2 linked regions of the Drosophila melanogaster genome follow. Changing the gene in region 1 together with any one later gene gives a genetic interaction. Each region holds a gene or a part of one and is shown in the gene's direction. Other genes may lie near its edges. The genes, in order: B52 and Top1.

The links.
Region 2: of B52 (region 1) and Top1, changing one suppresses a phenotype caused by changing the other (phenotypic suppression), as found in Drosophila melanogaster (one study listed by BioGRID).

The regions. Positions count from the first base shown.
Region 1 is NT_033777.3:13,659,531-13,667,425, forward strand, and holds B52 (B52), read left to right. Parts: upstream 1-1,780; 5' UTR 1,781-1,912; exon of another isoform or gene 1,913-2,171; 5' UTR 2,172-2,203; coding exon 2,204-2,329; intron 2,330-2,630; coding exon 2,631-2,701; intron 2,702-2,766; coding exon 2,767-2,874; intron 2,875-3,424; coding exon 3,425-3,521; coding exon of another isoform or gene 3,522-3,578; exon of another isoform or gene 3,579-3,924; coding exon of another isoform or gene 3,925-3,945; exon of another isoform or gene 3,946-5,922; coding exon 5,923-5,996; intron 5,997-6,059; coding exon 6,060-6,371; intron 6,372-6,553; coding exon 6,554-6,718; intron 6,719-6,825; coding exon of another isoform or gene 6,826-6,862; exon of another isoform or gene 6,863-6,888; coding exon 6,889-7,003; 3' UTR 7,004-7,361; downstream 7,362-7,895. Other genes in the region: Hrb87F (heterogeneous nuclear ribonucleoprotein at 87F), read right to left, coding at 1-118, 810-857. UniProt on the Drosophila melanogaster protein: Essential for development. May have a critical role in splicing or in controlling alternative splice site use of at least some pre-mRNA in vivo. Not required for all splicing. May play a general role in the condensation or decondensation of chromatin.
Region 2 is NC_004354.4:15,317,699-15,322,622, forward strand, and holds the start of Top1 (topoisomerase 1), read left to right. Parts: upstream 1-1,793; 5' UTR 1,794-2,082; coding exon 2,083-2,109; intron 2,110-2,255; exon of another isoform or gene 2,256-2,339; intron 2,340-2,670; exon of another isoform or gene 2,671-3,319; coding exon of another isoform or gene 3,320-3,334; intron 3,335-3,455; coding exon 3,456-3,673; intron 3,674-4,162; coding exon 4,163-4,924. Other genes in the region: gce (germ cell-expressed bHLH-PAS), read left to right, coding at 1-67. UniProt on the Drosophila melanogaster protein: Releases the supercoiling and torsional tension of DNA introduced during the DNA replication and transcription by transiently cleaving and rejoining one strand of the DNA duplex.

The DNA.
Region 1 (7,895 bases):
TCACCACCACGTCGACAATGTTGCCCCACTTCTCGAAGTGAGCCTTCAGGCCATCATCTGTGGTGCGGTAGTCCAGTCCGCCGATGAACAGTTTGCGCAGCTGCTCTGGCTCGGTGATCTGCGGGTGAATTTCAAATGCATTAGCTAAAGACGTTCTATAATTTAAATAATTTCTAAAAACAAAAAAAAAACCCATTGATTCGAAAATAAGTTGTAATATTAAATTAAATTAATTGATTTCTTTGGACAAACTTTGCGAAAAATGTATAAATTTATATAATAAAAAAAAAAATCATACTGTATCTAAATGAATAAATGTATAAAAAATATTTAAATGTATAATAAGTTGCTGTAAATTTAATAAAAAAATAAGTTGCTGTCAATAAGTCAATAAGTTTATGTCAATAAAACGATAAAAGTGCAAAATCATCCTTGATCAACAAGGATTTGCCATTGTTTATAATAGTAATTTACCTGGCGAGAAAAAGCCGCTCGCCATATTTTTTTTTTTTTTTTTTAGTATTTGCACCGCCATGACAGCCCGTATATGTGTATGTATGTATGAATTTTCGTTTTCTTTTTTATCAAACAGCCGGCAACTTTTTTATCGGAAATTGCTTATATTTCTCGCCAAAAGAGGTCGATAAACTTTTAGCTGGCTAAATTCGCACAGGGATCGATGGCCCCCATAATTCGGTAAAAAAGCGGCGTGAATGTATATTATACACGAATATTGTCGGCGTCGACATTTTGCACTTTCACGCGCGATGAACGATTTACAAACAGCAATTGGTCATTCTGCAACTCACCTCTTCACCATCGTCGTAGTTTCCGTTGGAATCGTTTTGTTCCGCCATTCTCTCCTTGGTTGTTCAAGAAGATGGAAAGTTTAAACACCGAACGCAGGAAATATTTTTTTTGTTTTTGTTCTTTTTTGACGGCAGACTGGCAATAAATGAAATGTACAGCACGCACAATGAGAATGGAGTGAGCAGTATGACCAGGTGTCGAGAACGGGGTAAAGTCGGAAAATCGGACGCCACGTGGAATCGGAACGATTGTTTCGGTGCGTTAGGGGTGTTCCTCGACAATTAAGCTGATGCCACACTTGATTTTATATATCTTCATATAAATTTGTATTCGTCTAGTAAGGGCTTAAAAATATTAGACAAGTTTATTGTATATATTTCTGAACAAACGGATTTGAATGTATTATCTTTATAAATGGATTATGATAATTACTACCACGATAACCCAAGAAACATTTAATATGTTTAACTTTTTAGCTAAATATGTATTATTATTAATACCGCTTACATAACTCTTTCTGCGAGCATTCGCTTTAGCTGGGGCGATGGAAGGCTTCACTTTAAGAGATAACTTGTAAATTATTTTGTATTGAATTGTATATTTGTAAGTAGCCAGCTAAGGGTCAATCAATATTACAATTACGGGATCTATGAGGCATTTGGGAATAAAAAAAGACATCGTGCGAAATAAATTAATAAATCCAGAAACATTTTATGTATATCATCAAATCAGAAACGTTAAAAAATGCTAATGAGTGCTTGCTAGCAGATATCAAAATAAAAAGGTTGTTAACAGTATATTCAAATGCTACTACTAAGTATATTTAATGTTTATTCTTTTCATAGCGGAACACGAACAGCAACTGGAATACCCTTAACGCAGCGAAACGCATTGCCCGCCCAAAATATCGATAGGCGAAAAAGTATCGTTCCATTCCGCCTTTGGAATGACTGTCAAACATCGCTTTCGTCTGTCACTTTCACTTCCGTTTGTGTCGAGTCGCTTGCGTTTTTTCGTGTGGGAAAGCCTGAAAAAGAGAGAGTACGGCAGCGACTTAATTGTAAATTTGCCACAAATATCCTTCACTGAACGGTACGTGCTAGTGAGTACGCTTAAGTGAAGAACAGCGCGTATTTCGCGTTGTTAAATTAACTCGTTTTTGCAGCGGTTCTGTACACCCGGTACATTGCGAGCGTGTGTGTGTGTATGTGGTGGCCGCCATCTTGGCGAAACATACACGGCGCGTACATATGTGCGTTTTTTTTTTCTTCCATTCCTAAAGGACAGTCGAGCAAAATAGAAGCTGCAAACTGCAACGGTTCCCTTGCTGATATATATATATATACTTCACTATTTTATAGCACCTGCTCCAGATACGTAAGGAACCGTTATCATGGTGGGATCTCGAGTGTATGTGGGCGGTCTGCCCTACGGAGTGCGCGAGCGCGATTTGGAGCGCTTTTTCAAAGGCTACGGCCGCACACGCGACATCCTCATCAAAAATGGCTACGGCTTTGTGGTGAGTACAAAATATCATATTTAACTGGAATATGTAAAAAAAAAAAATCGGTTAAATTTGATTTGAAGACATTTCTGCATTTCTCTGTTTGTCTATAGGTTTCCTAACATTTCAAGCCGACCCTTGAATACTTTTTTTTTCTTTTTGAACCTATATTTGTTCCATCATTTGTCTGTCAAATACAGTGACGCTTAAAAACTGTTCTTAAATTCACCCAGCGTATTTCCATAAGAGTATGCACAGGCAGGGTAGCTTCAATACTAATTCCATAATCAATACTAATCACTAATTGAATTTTCAGGAATTCGAAGACTATCGTGATGCCGACGATGCCGTCTATGAACTGAATGGCAAAGAGCTGCTTGGCGAACGGTGAGTTGTTAGATATAAGCCAAAGTACGAAATGACTCACGATTGTATGTTCTATATTTTTGCAGTGTGGTTGTTGAACCCGCCAGGGGTACCGCTCGTGGCAGCAACCGCGACCGCTACGACGATCGATATGGTGGTCGGCGGGGGGGCGGGGGCGGTCGTTACAACGAAAAGTAAGTAGTACTGCCAGCGGACCTTAAAACCGGACCAAAGTAGCGACGATATCGTCCTCCAACTTTGTTTGCGTTGAAGTTTGCCCTAGAATTAGCACTGCCAATTTGTTTCGTTTGATATCTCCATCCACACAGATGCAACCAGCTTAGATCGTGCAAAATCTATATACCTATAATATTAGCTACTTGCGATATATATAAAAAACATCAGTTTATTATATATTGACTTCTATAGTTTTATACACTTTTGGTAGTGCAATCGTATAAGCTGATTTCTTCTGCGTGGAAGGGAACCAAAAGACACTGACTTGCTGTTAATATTATCATTTCCAAGACGCTCCGTTTTCCTATGCATACTATTGTTGCTTTTATTTGCACGTTCCACCCATCCGCATAGTATGTAAAATGTTTGATTTGTTGCGCATAACCCAAATGTAAATATGCATATGCTGGAATATATTCACCATTACCGTTAATTTTTGTGATGGAGCATCAGGAGCAGCAGCGCAGTGTCAATACTAATTAGCGAATCCATTCAATTATTCACCAGAAACAAAAATTCCAGATCATCCTCTCGTTATGGCCCACCGTTGCGCACTGAGTACCGACTGATTGTGGAGAATTTGTCTAGCCGCGTTAGCTGGCAGGTAAGTGAGCATGGATCGATGTATCGCGCCTTGGGCGTGGTATATACTGTAGCTTAGATTCGAGGAGTGTAGTACTAGAATTAAAACGGCTAACCGACTGAAATGGATCACTATTACAAACACCCATTAATCAACTTACCCATCCCAGAACCAACCTTTTCGAGCCCCTTTTTGATTTCGAATTACTTTCCGGTGTCTTCGTCCTGTTTTGTGTTTTAACTCCTCCTCCACTCTGACTAGAGCCAATTCTATAATCTGTAATCTAGCCCTAAGCTGTACAGTTGACCTAGACTTAAGTGAAACACGAAAACAAAAGATATTGCTAAAACCCTGGTACTGATCGGTGTAATCTACCCACCATTACTTTCTCTTGCACACACCAACCGAAACCGATAATAAAAAGAGTTTGATGTGCTTTGACTGAGAGATTCCCTCCTCGGCTTGGGGCCGAATCTAAAACTGAAAGAGAATCAAATCTAATTGAATCGCTGTGAGAAAGACAAGCTAGTCTAGTGACCGACCGACCGGTTCAGAATGTTACCCAAAAACCAAGATGCGGTGGAAGACAGAGTGAGACAGTACCCAGAGCCGCCCCAGATTGGTTTCGATATGCGAACTACGATCTGCAACCTACGACCGACCTCCACGAAGCGCCATCGCCGCCGCCTCATCCATTCGTCGTCTATTCCAAATAAAACATAATATAGAACACATAACGAAATGAACAAGTCGATCAGAATCGAACCCAAAACTGAATGCAAAATCGAAATCAGAAAGCAGACGATGACGATGGACGTTGATGAGCTGCCCGGGTCAAAAGGCCAGCCCACGTATTAAAGCCCACACTGATTGAAAAGACGTGGGCTGGCCTCTTGCGTTAGGTATTTAACTCTCTGCTAAAAACATTCACAATTTTAATTACCAACAATATTATATAAAGAATTGTCAAATTCCTTATAGCCATTGTGAGTGTGATGAGGGTGCGAATCGAATCAATCGAGTGTGGTTAGATGAGAAGCTTGCGTTCGCTAATTCTAAGATGATGTGATGGTCTTGGCGACGATGAGGGATGAGCATATGACGATGATCGATCGATGACGATGACACGATGCTGCGATGCTGGTCGCGCGTTCAGTTACCAACTTCGGCTAGTGCCTCCGAACTTATTCCTTCCCCCCATTCCCGGTTCTTCTGGCTTCCGGCTGCGGCTCTGGCTTATGGCTGCGGCTCCGGCAAACGGCATACGGCTACCTGCCCCGTCTCCGGCTGAGACTACCGACTAGACAACCACCAACCCAACCCGTTGGAGAAGCGAGAGCAGCGTCCCGAAACGTATTTCTTATTTTTGCAGTTCGTTTGTGCGTGAGGTGCCGATGCCGCTGGTTGTTGTCCGCCTCTGACCGGCAAACTGCTCCAAATGCTCCATTCTCTGGCTCTCTGGTGCGGTGGTTCTGGCCAGCGATGTCTGCTCTGATCTGATCTGACCTCCTCCTGACTGTATCCGGTGTGTGGCTTCCTCCGAAACGAAACGAAAACAGCTACCGCAACACTTGAATACCTTTTTGCCATTTATAATATGATTCTGTTGTACATGAAAAACATAACAAAACTGTGTACTTGGTGGTACGTACGTGGCCAAATGAAAACGAATACCAAATCCAAACAAACAAAACGTAACGAGCTCTGGCCATCCATCCGCTCATCCGCCTGCCTGGCCACTGGTTCTCTTCTGGCTGACTGGTTGAGTTAACGATGTTCGATCGGACTTTCGATGAGGTCATGAGGTGTCCTTGGTGTCATTGGCCCACAGTTACTAGGCAGACAATCTAAACTCTCGGTGTAGAAACGATGTGTGTGTCCTCCTCTCTCTGAAAGCGCATTAAGTAAGAATTCAATTACAACTATTTTGTTAACTTTAATTTATTTCCAAACCAAATCAACTCAATCTATATATATATATATATATCTACTATCAATTGCCAACCACTGTTAACTATGATTGTTTACGCTTAAGTTTTGTGCCGCGTGCAGCGTGGAGTGTTTGAATGTTGTGTTCGGTACGTTCTGGGCACCTCCTCCTTCTTTTTTCCTGGCCAAGCGAAATCCTTCGTCCGGAGTGAGGTTCTCGGTTTCCACACGTAGGCAGGCGCGACAAGAGCACAGGATAGACGAACACAGGGCACTGAGTGAGAGAGAGAGAGGGACTTGTGAGAGGCTGGGACTTGGTTAGGAGCCCCAAATAATACCGAAAACATTCAAAATGCTCCATCTGCTGCACGGGCTGTCCTTTGAGTTGCAACCACTGCCGTCGGATGTGCGATGTCGAAATGTGCGAGACATCTGCCAAAGCTGAAACTTACTAATTACTATCTTTTCGTTCCGACTTTGTGCGTCCCTGCAGGATCTCAAGGATTACATGCGCCAGGCTGGCGAGGTCACCTATGCCGATGCCCACAAGCAGCGTCGCAATGAGGGGTATGTTTGAAAATGGTTGAAATTATTTTACATACAACCAACTACAATTGTGTTCCTTTGCAGCGTGGTTGAGTTCGCCTCGTTGTCGGACATGAAGACGGCCATTGAGAAGTTGGATGACACCGAGCTAAACGGCAGGCGGATCCACTTGGTCGAGGATCGTCGCGGAGGACGCAGCGGTGGTGGCGGCGGCAGCGGACGTGGACGCTCCCGTTCGTCCAGCTCCCGATCGCGCTCCCGATCCCGCAGGCGTTCTCGCTCTCGCCGCTCGTCGCACTCGCGCTCCAAGTCTCGCAGCCGCTCCAAATCTCGTGGCGGACGCTCCAAGTCCAAGTCGCCAGTCAAGTCTCGTTCTCGCTCCCGCTCGCGATCCAAGTAAGTAGAGAGAGAATAAAGTCTGGTAGGGATCGTACTTAATCACAAATTCTTTGTGATATATGCTTTAATATTAATATTATATAGATTTTACACGATAGAAAATATTAATTACGATCCTCCCTGGCTTTTTACTTCATATGATTGCCCACTAATTAATTACTTCACTACTTCCGCTGCAGCAAATCGCGTGACGTGTCCAAGTCCAAGTCAAAGTCCCACTCCCGCACCCGCTCCCGTTCGCCCAAACGTGAGCGTGACTCCCGTTCCCGATCGCGGTCCGTCTCGAAGCGCGAGTCCCGTTCCCGCTCACGTTCCAAGTCCATCCACCGCGACTCCCGTTCACGGTAAGTTTGGCCACAGTGCGATGACCATGGCTCCATATTATTATAGACCGTTCACGATTCTTTCTTTCGTGCTTTCTTTGGTTTTGTTTGGATGCACCTGTTTGTAGCCCGCCAACGGTGGTCGTTCAAAAGCTCGTTCTATAGTTCACTACAATGCCTTTCTTTTGCAGCGATCGATCCGCATCGGCTGAAAACAAGTCGCGTTCGCGCTCACGCTCCCGTTCGGCCTCGCCCAAAAATGGAAACGCCTCACCGGACCGCAATAACGAGAGCATGGACGATTAGATTAGTTAGCTGTCCCATTAATATTAAAACACTTGATTTTAGACTTCTACTATAACTATTCTACAAACATCAACACTCAGACACCCCGACTACAACCAAAACTTAATGAATATGAAATCATACCAATCCACCACTGTCGGGCCTCGTCATTTTCTTTTAAATATATAACGACAATTTGTCCTAAGTCTTGTTGTGGACATGGGACATTGGCTGGAAGATGACAGGGATCGGCTGAATGTGCCGATTTGGATTCAAGGAGTACATATAGGCCACGAAATTACTGCGACTTGTACACCGGAACACTTAAAATTGTCTATACAATGAGTAATTTCAATAAATACGGATAAATTTAAACTATAAATGTTTGCTCGCTGGTTTCACTTCAAAAAGGATATAAAGTACTTCGACGATTTTAATCATATAAAGTTAGTTTATTGTTTTTCTTTTTTGTTGTCGTAATTTCGGAATATAAGTATATTACAAAGTCTTAGTTTCACTATTTCGCATTATTTGCCTGAATTAAAATTACAATTTCATTTGATTTTATTTATCTTGAATTTGAAGAACGCCAATGATAATTTTGACACCTCATTGGCTGAAATATATCCTAGTTAAATATTTAAAATTTGAAAATGAATTAGCAATCTAAAATCAAATGCATAACTAAGTTTTATAAACTGACAAAGTTTTGGTTCTAACAATATATATCGTTTGTGTTTTGCTTTTAAAGTAATTACTTGTACGAATTAAGTACACTATTATATACAAAGCACATAGGGATAAAAGAGATTTTTTCTTTCCAAGCGTTTGACGTCTCGAGTGAGCAATGGTTAATGGGCAATGGGCCTTGAAAATCGCACCGACTAACTACGAGTAGAACAGATAATCGAAA
Region 2 (4,924 bases), on another chromosome or scaffold:
GTCATCGGATTCGGATCGGAATCAGGAGCAGCCGCCGCCGCCGCTTCAGGAGGACGACCAGGACTAGAGTGATGGAGAGCGCCCGATCGGGTCTCGACTGAAGGGTTTCATCGATGTGATATGTAACTACTGTCCTGGCAGTCAGCTCAAGCCCCAACATACAAAGTGTCCCTAATTCGTACCAACCAATAGAACCAATAATTCAGGGTTACTTCTCGTTCGGTCAACTGATGGGTAACTGCTGCGGTACAGTTTAGGTACAGATACAGATACGGATAGATAACCTTTAACCCCAACTTATGAGTGAGCCTGAGACAAGCATACTTTAGATACCCTGCCCACATGCACACACTCACATATATATATATATATATATATATATATGTACATATATACACTGTTTGTTCAGTTTGTTGTTTTTAACTTCCTGTCCCACGTAGAAGGACTTTTACATGCATGTAGAACTAGTTACCGTTACCGTTTCCGTTTCCGATTTCGTTTAGAATGTTAGACACATACATATTTAGTAGCTTAATCCAATCACAGCTGATTCTTTTGAACACAACTTGTTATTTGCTGATCCCAATTTTCTAAAACAAAAAGATGGTAGAACAAATATGAATAGAAAAGAGTCACGTCAATTTGCATCGAAAGCGGAAACGGCAACAAACACCCACAAAGGATTAAGATAATGATATAAGTAATGATTAGCGTAAATGGGAGGATTTAAACAATTATTATGCTAAATGAAATATACTATTAAAAACCTATGTACCATACGTTGTGCGTAATGCCCAAACTAAACGTGATAAAAGACTGTTACCAACTACATACACACATACATAATACCGAGATGGAAACAACCGTAAATCTAAAACTAAAACCTAAACTTAAATCGGCATAGTTTCGCATGAAAAGGTAATATATACATACATACATAAATATAACAAATATATTCATACGCGCACTAAAAGGAAGCGTTGCATAGTTTAATTACATTTACCGTACGAACACTTTTTATAGATGTTTAATGTTGTTATGGTTAAGATAAATCCGGACGAATTGATGGATTTTGGCCAAGCACGGTGCACTGCATATATGTAGCAAGTGAGCCAAGTACAATTTACACAAATGTATACATAATTAGATGCATATATGGTTCGATGTAAACTAATAATAAATCGATGTAAAAGCGTAAAAACGGAAGTTAAGAAACCACACACACACACAAACACACACACCCACAAAAACCAGAAAAAGCTGAGGCGACAAAAATATGAGAACTCTGTTAAATGTTTGTTATGCATTTGTTTTTTTTTTTATCTAAATTAATATTAAACTAATGTATTAGTGAATAAACTTGTGTACCTACATACAAAACAATGATAAAGCAGTTATGGCGGTGGTTTTATTTGTTTTTCTTCCAAAATAATAATTGCAAGAGCTGTACGAAAGTAATAAATTACTTCGATGCCAGAACGTTAAATAATTTCTTTAAATGTTTTATATTTCATTTTGTGGCATTCAATGCTTATTTTTTTTTTTTTGAACGTTTGGCGCTGCATTTACCACAATCAGTGATTTAAGCAAATAGTGGGGAAAACCCTTTTGTGAAAGTGAAAAAAAGTTAGCTTTTTCTTAAAGTTATTCTAGATTTCGTATCAATTCAGTGCTCAGACTATCGAGAAAGAGTGAACATCTATCGACAGGCTAGTATCGACACGGGCACCGACGGTCACACTGTCCGAATCCGAACTATCAGCCTATCGCTCTCCGATAGCAGCAGTCGCTACTTGTCCGAACCAATCGCCTATCGGGGAGACTGCGTGGCTGCTGCGTTCCGTAAAACGCAAAGAAGCCAAAAAGCAAGGGCATTCGCATTGACCAAAGCACCAAACGCTGCTCCTTTTCGAAAAACTTCAGTGCGCTTTTATTTCCCCGCCGCTGTCACCGCTTTAAGGAGCACCAACATCTAATTATTGAAAATCCTAACGAACAGTTTAGTCGAACAGTGTAAAAGCGTGAAAAGAAAAGAAAGGAACGAATAAAATAAAAGAAAAACCGCTAAGCGAGTTCCGCAAAATGAGTGGGGATGTGGCTGCCGAAAATGTAAGTGCCCTAAACGAAATATCCATTCCTTTTTTATGTAATGTGCAAACGTGTTGAATGGGGGGACTTTGCCTGCCGCCTGCAGCCTGCCTGTCAGTCCCAAAAAATCAAGTTAAATTCTGAACCGCATAATTGTAGGGTGCACAGGATAGTTGCAAGTGTACCGCTCGCTGCTGGCAGCTGGCAGCGACGCCGACAGCGCTGCCAGCAGAGTGCGTAAAATACAACGAGCAGAGAAAAAAAAGTAAGAAGAGGTCTTTTGGTAATTGACGAAAATGGCGACAATGCAAGTGGGAAAAGGTGAAGGATGGTGTGAAGCAGGGAGGGGAAGAGCCGAGGCAGACGAAATGTATTTGGCACAGTGTGGCCGCAGCTGGCTGGTATTTTAATCAAAACTGGTATTTTCACCAGCCACTCGAACGTTGCCTTTCCACATTTTTCCCCCTCAAAAACACCCTTTAACTAACTCATTTCCCTGCATTTCCACTGCAACTTGCCTTATTTACGTTCGCATAGCGTCTCAATTTCCCTGTTCTTCGTAGATTACCACCAAGTTTGGTCACACTGCCCTCTTCCACACACATAATATCACATGTGTTTGCTGCTGTTGTTGTTGTTGTTGTTGGTTGTGGACCGCTGCTTTCATGTACATATGTAATTGCAAGTGTCCCATTTTGCAATTACACTTCTACATGCACATACATATACGAAGGTGTTCCGTCGTCTGATAAGACAGATGTGCCACCCCAAAACAGCCAAAAACAAATAAAAGCATTAACTAGAAAATGCTCCGGATGAATAATATGCAACCACAATAACAACAATAACCCCGTGGGGATGTGTTTGTGTGTGTAGCTGTTAAAAAAAAAAAAAAAAATGCAAAAAGTGTAAAAAAAAAGCAACGATTTTCTGTATTCTAAACGACTCTTGTGCGTGTGTGGGTGTCATTGTTTGGCAAGGTGTTTTTTAAATATATATTAACCTATTCCAAGTGATTCGGAAACAATTTTCAATTTCCTGTCGCCATCGCTCGGCGGCTCTTCTTCTTCGATTAACCCATTGCTGGTAGTTTAAAGTGAATTTTCCTACGCGGCATTTGTTAGGGTTGATTTTCACCACGTGGTGAGCGGATAGACACGAGATAATAGCCAATCATCGCCAGAAATCGAGAGGAAATCGAGTAGATCCACAAGCGACCAGTTGGGCCAACATGACGGATGCACAGGTTTCTGGCCCGGATTCACTCTCACTTTTCAGCTGGTCCATCTACATATATACGTACTAACTAACTGATACCATCTCCCTTTCTTCTTTCTTCCATCTCGCCATCTCTCTCGCGCCCGCAGAGCATCCACATACAAAATGGTGGCAGCTGCGAGGTGGTTCAATCCAACGGGGTGACCACCAATGGACACGGACACCACCACCATCATCACCACAGCAGCAGCAGCAGCAGCAGCAGCAAGCATAAATCCTCCAGCAAGGACAAGCATCGTGATAGGGAGAGGGAGCACAAGAGCTCCAATTCCTCCAGCTCGTCGAAGGAGCACAAGAGCAGCAGTCGGTACGTATGTAGGAGCAGATCGATTTGACTCGACTCTATGCGATTCGATTCGAATCGGGCCACTCGTGTCGAACCATCTGGAACAGTCCAAATAGGTCAAAGTCAGGAAAGGACAATGTAATCACCTGGGATTCATAATAGTGCTTACATTAAGAGACAGTTGTTCCCCATGTGCTCATTGTTATAGTTCTTATAATCAATTTACAGTGCCAAACTAATGAAATGTAGGTAGCTATCACTTTAAAGGTATTCCGTCTAAAATGGCCTAAGTTTCTATGTTCAGTTCCTAAGTAATTTAAATTATCTCCCAAGAAAGCGACTTTAGATAGAAGCTGGAAGAAAAGGTGCATATGTATATAGAATGAGAAACTGCAATCAGACCAGATAATTCAATATTATATACAGAGTAATGCTTTTTTCAGAGCTATAGATTAGGCTATAACATTTCACAAGGAATCCAACTAATAACCCTAACCTTTTACATTTTAGCGACAAGGATCGACACAAGAGCAGCAGTTCGTCGTCAAAGCATCGGGACAAGGACAAGGAGCGCGATGGCAGCAGCAACTCGCATCGCAGCGGCTCATCGTCCAGCCACAAGGATAAGGATGGGAGCAGCAGCAGCAAGCACAAGTCGTCGTCGGGCCACCACAAGAGGTCCTCGAAGGATAAGGAGCGACGCGATAAGGACAAGGATCGCGGCAGCAGTTCATCCAGTCGGCACAAGTCCTCGTCCAGCTCCCGTGACAAAGAGCGCAGCAGCAGCAGTCACAAGAGCAGCTCCTCTTCATCCTCATCGAAGAGCAAACATTCCAGTTCGCGGCACAGCAGCTCATCTTCCTCGAAAGACCAGCCATCGTACGATGGCGTATTTGTTAAGCCGGAGCCCGTTTCCCAACAGCTGATGCACTCGGGCTCGGTGGATGCTTTCCAGATGCAACAGCTCGGTAGCTACGAAGCCGCAGCCGCCGGCACCAATTTTAATGGCAATGGAAACGTTGCCGGTGCCAACTATAAGAACGGCTACGAGGAATCGATCGTAGACATCAAGAAGGAGGAGGAGAGCTTTAACAATCTGTCGCAAGCCAGCTCCTGTGACTACTCCATGTCCCAGTTTCGTGCCGATGAGCCGCCGTTTGTGGTGAAGCACGAGCAGAGCTACGCCGAAGAGGACAGCACCATGAACTACAATGATCACGACGACGACGCCGACGAGATGAACGACGACGAGGAGGATGTGCCGCTGGCCAT